3 linked regions of the Saccharomyces cerevisiae S288C genome follow. The gene in region 2 interacts genetically with the main gene of each other region. Each region holds a gene or a part of one and is shown on either strand. Other genes may lie near its edges. The genes, in order: PAU10, FAT1 and ELO3.

Evidence for each region.
Region 1: mutations in FAT1 (region 2) and PAU10 together harm fitness more than expected from each alone (negative genetic interaction), as found in Saccharomyces cerevisiae (2 studies listed by BioGRID).
Region 3: mutations in FAT1 (region 2) and ELO3 together harm fitness more than expected from each alone (negative genetic interaction), as found in Saccharomyces cerevisiae (6 studies listed by BioGRID, with this or other methods).

Annotation. Positions count from the first base shown.
Region 1 is NC_001136.10:1,521,089-1,524,113, reverse strand, and holds PAU10 (seripauperin PAU10), read right to left. Parts: upstream 866-3,025; coding exon 503-865; downstream 1-502.
Region 2 is NC_001134.8:316,145-319,906, reverse strand, and holds the start of FAT1 (long-chain fatty acid transporter FAT1), read right to left. Parts: upstream 1,642-3,762; coding exon 1-1,641. Other genes in the region: FIG1 (Fig1p), read right to left, coding at 2,043-2,939; ATP3 (F1F0 ATP synthase subunit gamma), read right to left, coding at 3,397-3,762. UniProt on the Saccharomyces cerevisiae protein: Acyl-CoA synthetase required for both the import of long chain fatty acids (LCFAs) (C14-C18) and the activation very long chain fatty acids (VLCFAs) (C20-C26) by esterification of the fatty acids into metabolically active CoA-thioesters for subsequent degradation or incorporation into phospholipids.
Region 3 is NC_001144.5:865,283-868,982, reverse strand, and holds ELO3 (fatty acid elongase ELO3), read right to left. Parts: upstream 1,630-3,700; coding exon 592-1,629; downstream 1-591. Other genes in the region: VID22 (Vid22p), read left to right, coding at 1-321; Rho family guanine nucleotide exchange factor ROM2, read right to left, coding at 2,199-3,700.

The sequences.
Region 1 (3,025 bases), on a different chromosome or scaffold from region 2:
CAAAAAACTATCCCAAACCATAAATCTTAATATTTTAGGTGTCAAAAAATGAGGATCTCCAAATGAGAGTTTGGTACCATGACTTGTAACTCGCACTGCCCTGATCTGCAGTCTTGTTCTTAGAAGTGACGCATATTCTATACGGCCCGACGCGACGCGCCAAAAAATGAAAAAAGAAGCAGCGACACATTTTTATGGAAAGACAAAGTGCTGCGAAGTCATACGTTTCCAATTTCATTATTGTTTATTGGAAATACTCTGTTAGCTTTATTACCGTCCACGCTTTTTCTACAATAGTGTAAAAGTTTCTTTCTTATGTTCATCGTATTCATAAAATGCTTCACGAACACTGTCATTGATCAAATAGGTTTATAATATTAATATACATTTATATAATCTACGGTATTTATATCATCAAAAAAAAGTAGTTTTTTATTTATTTTATTTTGTTCGTTCATTTTCAATGTCTATGGAAACCCGTTCGTAAAATTGGCGTTTGTCTCTAGTTTGCGATAGTGTAGATACCGACCTTGGATAGAGCACTGGAGATGGCTGGCTTTAATCTGCTGGAGTACCATGGAACACCGGTGATCATTCTGGTCACTTGGTCTGGGGCAATACCAGTCAACATGGTGGTGAAGTCACCGTAGTTGAAAACGGCTTCAGCAACTTCAACTGGGTAGGTTTCCGTTGGGTGGGCGGCTTGGAACATGTAGTATTGGGCCAAGTGAGCTCTGATATCAGAGACGTAGACACCCAATTCAACCAAGTTGACTCTTTCGTCAGATTGAGCTAGAGTGGTGGTTGCGGAAGCAGTAGCAGCGATGGCAGCGACACCAGCGGCGATTGAAGTTAATTTGACCATTGTATTTGTTTTGTTTTTTAGTGCTGATATAAGCCCTACTAGGAAGAAAAAAATGACTGCATATTCACAAAGACAGGCGGTCAAGTCTGCTCTATTTATACAAATTCCTTCACCAGCTGGTGCTGCCCAAACGAGCCACTGACTGACACTCTTTTCTCACCTCAAGATCCTACATATTTCATCTAACACACCTTATCCACCGTAACTATAGAAATGCACCTGTCCTTGAACGATTCGTGAATTCGTCACAAACTTCGTATATGAAGATATGTTTTGCGGCGCCAATGTGTATTCGTATGCGTGCAATGTAAGATCGACGTTATAGGGGCGCCATGTGCCTTCGAAGAACCCTTTTACGTGCCTGTCATATTTCTTTTTCAAGGACCCTCGTTCGGAAGCTATTGTCTTAGCCTATATTAGTATGCTCTAAACGATTGCCGCGGGATAATGTTACAGTTTCTTTTCCCAAGCTGAAGTGAAATAGCAATGATGTACTGAGAGTCGTACCTACCCGTGGAAGCTTACGATGCCGTTCACTATCACTAAGGCATTCGAAATTAGATACCACAATCAAGAATGAATGCGATATATAAACGAGGTAGCTACAGTTAGCTGCACATGTTTCTCGAATAGAGTTAATTGATGTTAGGGTGAATTGAATCATGTGCCAAGGTTTTGTGTAATGAAACATCTTCGATACCCGGGTACCATTTTTCTTGTTAAAAAAAAAAAAGAAAGAAAAGAAAAGAGTACAGAGGCCAGTGGATGGCGCTAATATTTTTTATTTTACGTTTTGAATCTTCTGTTGAATAATTTCATCTATGTGCTTGGTTCTTGCAACTGTTAAACACTTATACCTAGTAAATATTCTGTGGCAGGGGTTGGTAGTGCCTCCTGAATTTATGGGCGCAGTTTAATGCTCAATAACTAGGCAACGCATTTTTTCTGAATCTAAAATGCTATTTAAGTATCGCTCAAAAGAAAACTACAAAATTAGCCCTGTTAAAGAAAAATTCCTCATTCTTGTACATATCCTGCCCAAACAAGCTTCTGTTCTTTCTGTTGGCACTCTCAACGCATTAATCAGCACCACTGCCTTGCTTACCTGTGTTCCATTCTCATATGGAATATCACTAGACTGGAGAATTTCCTCTCGATAGAAAAAAACTGGTTCCACAAGGCAAGGAAGCCTGAGGGTCCGGTGGACCAGTGGAAGTAAGATAGTAGTTAAACAAAATAACATGCAATTAAATATTTTCCTTTAATTTTTAAGTCAGTGTGACCCAATAAGAATAGCTTTAATTTTTTACTTCTTTTGGTACCTAATATTTCTACTTAAAATACTTCCGATGGAGACGCATAACTTGTACTTTTGTCAAGGAAAAGATATAATTAGCACTTGAGCAAGCAATACTATCATTTTTTTTTTTGAGACATTACTTCAAGTTGACTCTTTTGAAACAGATCTTTTCTCCAACTTACTCACGAACATTGCCTAAAAGACAACTAATTTCTCGTCCAAAGCTGATAAAAGATGAATATGGATTCAGCATAAGCGGATTAAAGTAGCAATATCTGCTTAAGTTGACTTCGCTATTACTCTCACGGGTGTAACACTATTCTGTTTCACGAATGGCGCTTACGATTTTTCAAAATTACCTTGGAATGTGTCACGTTGGGCATTTTTAATTATTGTGCTGCATAAAGGTGCCTATTTGGCAAGTTTCTGTGCGAAAAACACTAGTATTGAATGTTTTCGTGATGCTTTATTGACACGTGAGAAGGGAAACTTTTTTTAATACGATAGCACATATATTAACCACATGAAGGCACTTGCATCATCTGCTTAAAGCAGATTAGAGGTCGTATTTCTAACCTTTAAAGGTACATTCTGTTTGAATCATGAATATATGTAGTTGCGTAAGTTGTTTAAGACTCTAGAGCCAACGAATTTCTGCTTTTGAATCATTACGGAATCTTAGAGTGTTATACGACATTATTAAATACAGCAACAATGGCCAGTCGCACAATTTGATTTCTAAGTTACAATAAATGGACTGTAAAAATTCACACAAAAGACTTTCTTGCCCTCCTTCTTTCTTGATTTGTTCAAGCCTCTTTTATTTGCATATACTTTTTGTTTATGTTCTATAGCCTAAA
Region 2 (3,762 bases):
ACTGGCCGTCAACTGATCTTCTACTTCAGTAGTGGAAACATTTTCAGATTTCCATCTGAAAGTATCACCCATTCTATCAAGGAAATACCATAATCCATATTCGTCCGCTTTTAATAAATCTCCACATCTATACCAAGCATCGCCACGTCTGAAGACATCCCTCACAACTTTGGACTTTGTTTCCTTGGCATTACCAAGATAACCTTGAAAAGATGTTTCTGGTTTTTTAGGGAAAAAGATTCTCATTAACATTTCTCCTGGTTCGCCAACAGGGGCCACTTCGCAGAAACCCTTGGAATTTCTATATATAACGGAATCGTCATTTGGGTCCATCCTTACCAATGTTTGTTGGAATGACAAAAACCATTGAATTATAGTACCATAGTTCCTACATGCGCCAATTCCAAAGTCACCTTTCTGGAAGGTAGTTGTAGCAAAAGGAGCTTCAGTTGCGGCATAGAATTCACCAATAACTTCTATGTTGAACCTCTTCCTGAAGTCCTGCCAGATGTCAGGTCTCAGCCCGTTACCATAAGCAACCTTCACCTTATGCATCTTTTCATACTTAGAAATTGGCGTATGTAACAGGTATCTACAGACTTCTCCGACATATTGGATGTGCGTGGCTCCTGTTAAATAAACTTGCTTCCAAAATGTACTGGCAGAAAATTTATGCGATAACGCAAGGCAACCACCGTGAGATAGAATGGCGCACGCACCTAATAAGGCAGCAGTTGAATGGAACAATGGCATGGCTGTGAACACAGTGCTTTCATTAGTCATATGTAAAACATGACCAAAAACTTGACAACCTACGGAGGATTTTCTCCAAGACATAATAGCGGATTTAGGCAAACCAGTGGTTCCAGATGTATAAATTAACATAGAGGGTTTAAAATCGGTCAAGCCTAGTGGTGTCCTAACGTTGTCTTGTTGTAAGAATTCCGGTGATTGCGAATTTAAAAGTTCATGCATTAAGTCTTGTTCTTCAAGATAGTTTAATTTAACATCAGGAAGTGCGTTTTTGATTTCTTCTTCCGATTCTCTGATCGGATTACTGGCATCAGGGTCAATAAATACCTGCGTAATATTGGAAATCTTTAGGGAGTGAACCAGCGGAGTGCCTTTAGTATTATAGTTTAAAAAAGCTGGAATAGCCCCAATGTTCCACAAAGAAAGCCATAAAAATACGAAAAGAGGTTTATTAGTACAATCGATTGCCACGTAGTCACCGGCCTGAACGTTATAATCAAAATGCAAAATATGAGACAATCTCAACACTATGTTATAAGTTTCAATATACGTAAAGGTTTCGAGTTGAAATTCTCCCTTTTCGGCCATGGGACGGGTGTAACTAATCGCTAAATGGTCACCATTTTGTTGGACCTGTTTAATAAATAAGTACCAGTTTTGAAACCTATGTCTTCTCACATCAATGATATAACAAAACACGCTTTTCAAAAAGTAAGGAATAATATACCAATCCTCCTTGTATCTATATTTACGGTCTAATTCATCAAAATAATTACCAAATAGATAACCCAGTGATTTCTGGATAGGGGTTATAATTAGCTTGATAAGTCTGAATAATAGCAGGAAAATCCTTGACAAGGCAAAGACAACAACCTGTATGGGAGACATAGTCGGTATTCGCAGCCTATTAAAAGTTCAACGATATAGAATTTGAATGATTTGGGCTTTTCAATTTAGTTTACGACTTTAAGGTCCTTATTTTTTTTGCTATAACATTAGTATTTATAAAAAATTTCTGGAGCTTTGTTACATTGCGCGAAAAACCCGCGTTCTATCTTTTTAGTCGCTCATCAAGGTGACAGTAAATAAAACAGACGGTAATGATTAGAGTTTAGGTAAGCTCATATTTTCTCTGTTGTTACTTAATTATCGAACGTTAAATTTTTTAAGTAGTTCATCACATTATATAATGTTAATCGTGAATTATATAAATTTTTTCTCCTTTTACTTTTAAAAATTGACATTCTGAAATATCCGCTCAAAACTTATATGTTTATTTGAGGATAAAACTAAACTTTGGAATGCAATGTAGATGAATCCGAAGAGTAGTTATTGTACCTATTTTGGGCACATGGAACATTATCAATTTCATCTTTCAAGCTTTTCCTATCCCTTAAAAATATTAACCATAAAACCACACTGTCTAAAAGGAGGAATGCAAAGCTAAACCAAGCCATTACTGCTGCCTTCTTGCCCTTCTTGACAGTGATTATATTCATACTTGATGATGGAACCAATCTGTAACTTGCATTTATCCCTACATGAGTCCACATCGCACCAATACCCCATGTCAAAACTATAGTTGAACTTAGCAACAGTAGAAATTTATTAACCGCTAGTTTGAATGGTAACTTAGGGACAGTTACATACAGAATAAATAGAAACATTAGGATTGTTAGGATTACAGTTGCCATCAAGACATATGGATGTATAACATTAACCGAAGTTAATTGGGCTAACTTCAAAATGTTCAAGACAACGCTTGATTGGGTTTTGGAGCTGGAAGATGCAATATTTGAGAGTTGAATTTCCAAGTCTCTGTATAAGGGAACCGAGCTTAAATTCTTTCTTGCATAGCAAATTGAATTGGAGAATGTAGTCATATTATTGTAAGAGCTATATTGGGAGGGAATGTTATCAATACAAACACCCATGTAACCGGATCTTATAATGACTTCCTCCAAGCCCAGAGTTGTATTTGATTTTTCATATGATTTCTCTATGATCGTATAAAAAGGTGAGTTGTCATCAAATTTATACTTCACTAGAAATGTTGACTGATTTGACGGGTTGTAACAGCCGATGAGAAGAAAAATCAAAAGAAATATTGAAATTAAATTAAAAGCTAATGCAAATATTCTGGGCATACGCTTGGTAAAAAACCAAATCATTGAGATTGCGACCATTTTTTTTTTTTTTTTTTTGTTTGTTTGTTTGTTTGTTTACTATAATTTCTTCTACCAAAGACAAGCAAGAACCTGAGATAAAAAACATTTAACAGACATTTTACAAATATATACCAATGTCTTTGTTATTTCAACAGCACTATATATTGTTTTCATTTTCTTGGTTCGTTTCATTGCTACTTAGCCATATTTTTTTTAACTGACACATACATGAAACCATCATAATCTTAATGGGAAAAAATCCTAAAGCGAGAAGGACTTTCAAAAAAAAAAAGTTTTAAAAATGTTATAATTTTTGTATTTTACCTGAATATATAGTAGTGTTTAGTATTTATTATCTTTCCTTTTCTATTTAAGGTATTCTTTGGATATATACTTCGTCTCATCAAGTCAAAATTCGTTTCATGTTCTACAAAAACAACGTCAAATAAAGAGGCAATGCAGGGTGATTTTTTTATCATCCCAAAGAGGAAGCACCAGTAATAATATCAACCAGTTCATTAGTAATGACAGCTTGTCTTGTTCTGTTGTACAAGATAGAGTAACGATTGATCATATCACCGGCATTCTTGGAAGCGTTATCCATAGCGTTTCTTCTGGCGGAAATTTCAGCAGCATAACCTTGAGCCATTGCTGTCAACATTTGGTTAGCCAAAGTATATTCAAACAAATCTCTTGGAACGTTTGCGTCCGTGTCGATCTCAAATTTGCCGAATGATGGGGATTGTTCAATGGTCTTGGCGTTAAAGATCGGTTTTTCAGATGGTTCAAAAGATAGGGAAGACACTGGGTCATTGTAGAAAATGGAAATCTTTGGGTAAGT
Region 3 (3,700 bases), on a different chromosome or scaffold from region 2:
ATTATTGGAGAGCTAGAACAACCAATGAACTTCATTGAAGAGTTACTTGATATCCATGTTCCTGTGTGTAACGCGTTCTGGTCCCAATACTTAGATAATGATGCTGGGCCGATAATTAGAATTTTGTTCAAGATAATGCAATGTCAGTCATCTTCCTCCATTAGGGGAGAGTACTCATTTTTAAATGACTTCATTCCCAGAGTACATCCCGATTTAACTCAAGAGATTATTAAAATTAAATTATTCAATGATCAATTCGTGGCAAGTAAAGTGGATTACGACTTGGACACTTTACAAACTGCAAGTCAGTATCTTCCATAGGACATACAAAGGAACAAAGTCTGTTTGTTTTAAATTTTAGCTGCTATATAATTTTATTTTATAATTGTAATGTATCACTACTCCTCACTGTAAGCGTGCAATTCTTTGGGCAGCTAAGGAAATGATTAATCAAAATGGGAAAAACACCAAGCCAATAATCTATCATTTCTATAATAATGATTTCATTTATCGTACATATTTAATATAAAGAAAATGTTAACATTTAATTTTTTTCTTTTTCATTCGCTGTCAAAAATTCTCGCTTCCTATTTAAGCTTTCCTGGAAGAGACCTTGGTGTTAGAGGTCTTGACACCAGTAGAAGAACCGGATGCAACGGAGCCGGAAACTTCAGATTCCTTCTTGACTGTCTTTTTACCACCTTTCTTGTAAGATTGGATGTAGAAGGAAATAAACAAAAGCAAATAAGATGTTAGAATCAAATACCCATAAGCAGCAGCAGCCTGAGTACCATAACAAGTACCCTTGTTTGGTAAAATACCGTCCAAGTATTTGTGAGCATAGAATGTATAGGTAGCAAAGTAAACAAATACCAAGTCAATCAAAAATTGAATAATTTGGAATCTAGTGACCCATTGCTTCCACCAAACTCTAATACCACATGAACTCAAGAAGTAGTACCAGTACATGATAACGTGAACACCCAAGTTTAGTAGGATAACTACCCATTCAACAGAAGTACGACCAATTAATTGAGTGTAGCACAACAAAGCGGTGGCACCGTGATGGTAAGTGTGCAAAAACAATAACTTCTTTCTTCTCAAAACTAAAAACACAGTGTCAATCAATTCTACGAATTTGGTCAAATAGTTCAAATAGTAAAGAGTAACTAATTTTGGTGCGAAGGCTTCCTTAGAGCAGATAGACCAGAATAGACCGTTGTGATAAACCATAGGAACCAACTGTTCTAACATCAGCAACCATAAAACTAGAGAAATAGAAGTCAAAAACAAGTTGTGTATCTCGAAAAGCAATTTAAACTTTAATGGAGAGGCGTTCAAGGCGCGTAAGATAGCTTGGCCACCAAAGATAATAATGTAATAAACGATAATAATACTAACAGCATGATACCCGTTAGCCAAGAAAGTCTTATTGTGAATAAACTCGAATTGCTCAGCTGGATAGCCACTAAAGTATTCAAACACTTTGGAGAAAATTGGCCATAATTCAATACCGAATGGGTTCTCAATGGAAGGAACATGAACCTTCAAGAAACATGAAGAAGAAGAGTTCAAAGACTGGAACTGGTCGGCAACTGCTGCTATAACAGTAGATGTGGTAGTGTTCATGACTGTTTATGTTTCGTAAACAAACGGAAAAAAGCCGAATAAATAAACTAGAAGTAAGCTTGAAGCGAGTGAAGAGCTGTCAAAAACCAATCAATGACCAAATAAAAAGACACCAGATATGCGGAAAATACACAGTACCTAACTGGGGTAATAAGTTAAATAAAACTTCAAACAAGGCTAAACAACAAACAGAAGACTCCAGATAAATATTTTATACAATTATTTACTAAGAACCTGTGAAAAAAAAAAAAGACAAGCCAAATGCGTAAGCCAACCTTTTGTTTATTCACAGTCTGGAAAATTTTCTGAAAATTTTTCACTTTGTGGACGGAATAAAAACTTCGAAGCTTTGGGAAGAAAAATTTCGCGTTTTTTTTTCTCGCGTCATCAATCATTTGCATACAAATCCCTCTGACGGTGAATTATCATTATTATATTATAAAATTATTATTTATGTCGTTTTCCACTATTGTCATCAATGTTTATTATTCATAATTCTGCTCCTTTTACAACTTTAGTTATGCTTTTTATTCTAAAGAAAATAAGGAAAGTCTATATACGTTGCTATCTTAACCCCAGAAATCTAACGACGCAACTGTATCATACCCGCGATAATCCTCGTAGCAGTACAGGATTTCTTGAGTACTTGTTTGTAGAAGTCGAATCTTATCAGCAAGGACGCAACGAATTAATTCGCCAGTTTCAATCTTTCTGATCTCAATGAAGTTGCTGTCGAATGCCAAGATGTACGGGTACCAAATTGCAAATTTTTGGGGCTCTCCCTCCCAATGAATAATATGCGATTCTTTCTTTCTCCAACCCTGATTATTGACAAAGAAGGCAAATTCTGTGTAACACAGCAAAAACATATTTCCCACACGATAGATTGCCATTGGTTTCAAAGTATCCCTTAGTGCAAACTCTAATGATGTATCGGCCGGATCTAACAAGGATTCATGAGCATTCTGTGAAATGCTAACGATCTGAAAACCCTTTTTACAGCCAATGCATAGGTTGGCCTTGAGAAATGAAATAGAGACAGGTTCAGAATCAAAAATAACCTCGGTGATTTTTTTCTTGAGACTTTTTTTGTTACCGCTACCACTACCATTTTTTTCGGCCAATAATGGATGTTCATGCTCGAAGTACTTAATTGAATGCGATGAACTGTGTGCAGTCACGATTAATCTCTTACCATTGCAATCTCCTTCTGCGAAGAAACTCACATGATTGATCAGTTCCTTGTGATGCTTTTTGAAGAAAGATGTCCCATTACCTTCTGCTTCGATTAATGACAGCGGACAACTGTATAATTTTTTATCAATTAAAAGTATGATTGATTTGAATTCTTCTAATACAGCAATTTGAGTGATATTATTTCTTTGTACTAGTTGGATTGGAGTTGAAAAAAAAGCAGAGCTTTTATGTCTATGATCTTTATTCTGCTGTCTTTTAATGTTGCTCATATACAATCCAGAGTTCGTTGCAATCAGAAGTTTTCTACCCCCATCACAGGAAGTAACACTGTTAATTTTGTTGGTGTAATCGAAGAACCTATCGCTCATTTTCGTTACATTGAACATCTCCGTTTTGCTTATAATAGCTGCTTGTCCTTGCTTTATTTTTTCCAAAAGCGTTTGCAATCCAGCGTATTGCGCAGCATATAATGTAACTTGATATCTCTGCTTGGCACCGTAGTATAAGAAAGTTATTGCGTTTTTAGGATTACTCGTGTTGTATTCTGGTTGAATTACAGTTCCTGAACAATCTGGGTGGTCTCCAATATATTTCCTCAACGCAGGCATATCTTCACCTGGACATGCAAATAACAATGGCAATGGAATGGGCCTTTGGAATACCTTATGCTGGTGCCATTTATTAACTGCTTTGGCCTTTAAAAATAAGAGCATATTATCTAGAAGATAAAATTGTATGTCACCAACAACTGTTCCGTCCGATTTTGACAACTCCTTCCGTGATAGTATACCTTCATGTTTAATTTTTCTCCTTTCGTCATTTAATCCTAAATTAACGTATTCGTTTTTGAAAAGAATCTTTTGTTTCAACAATT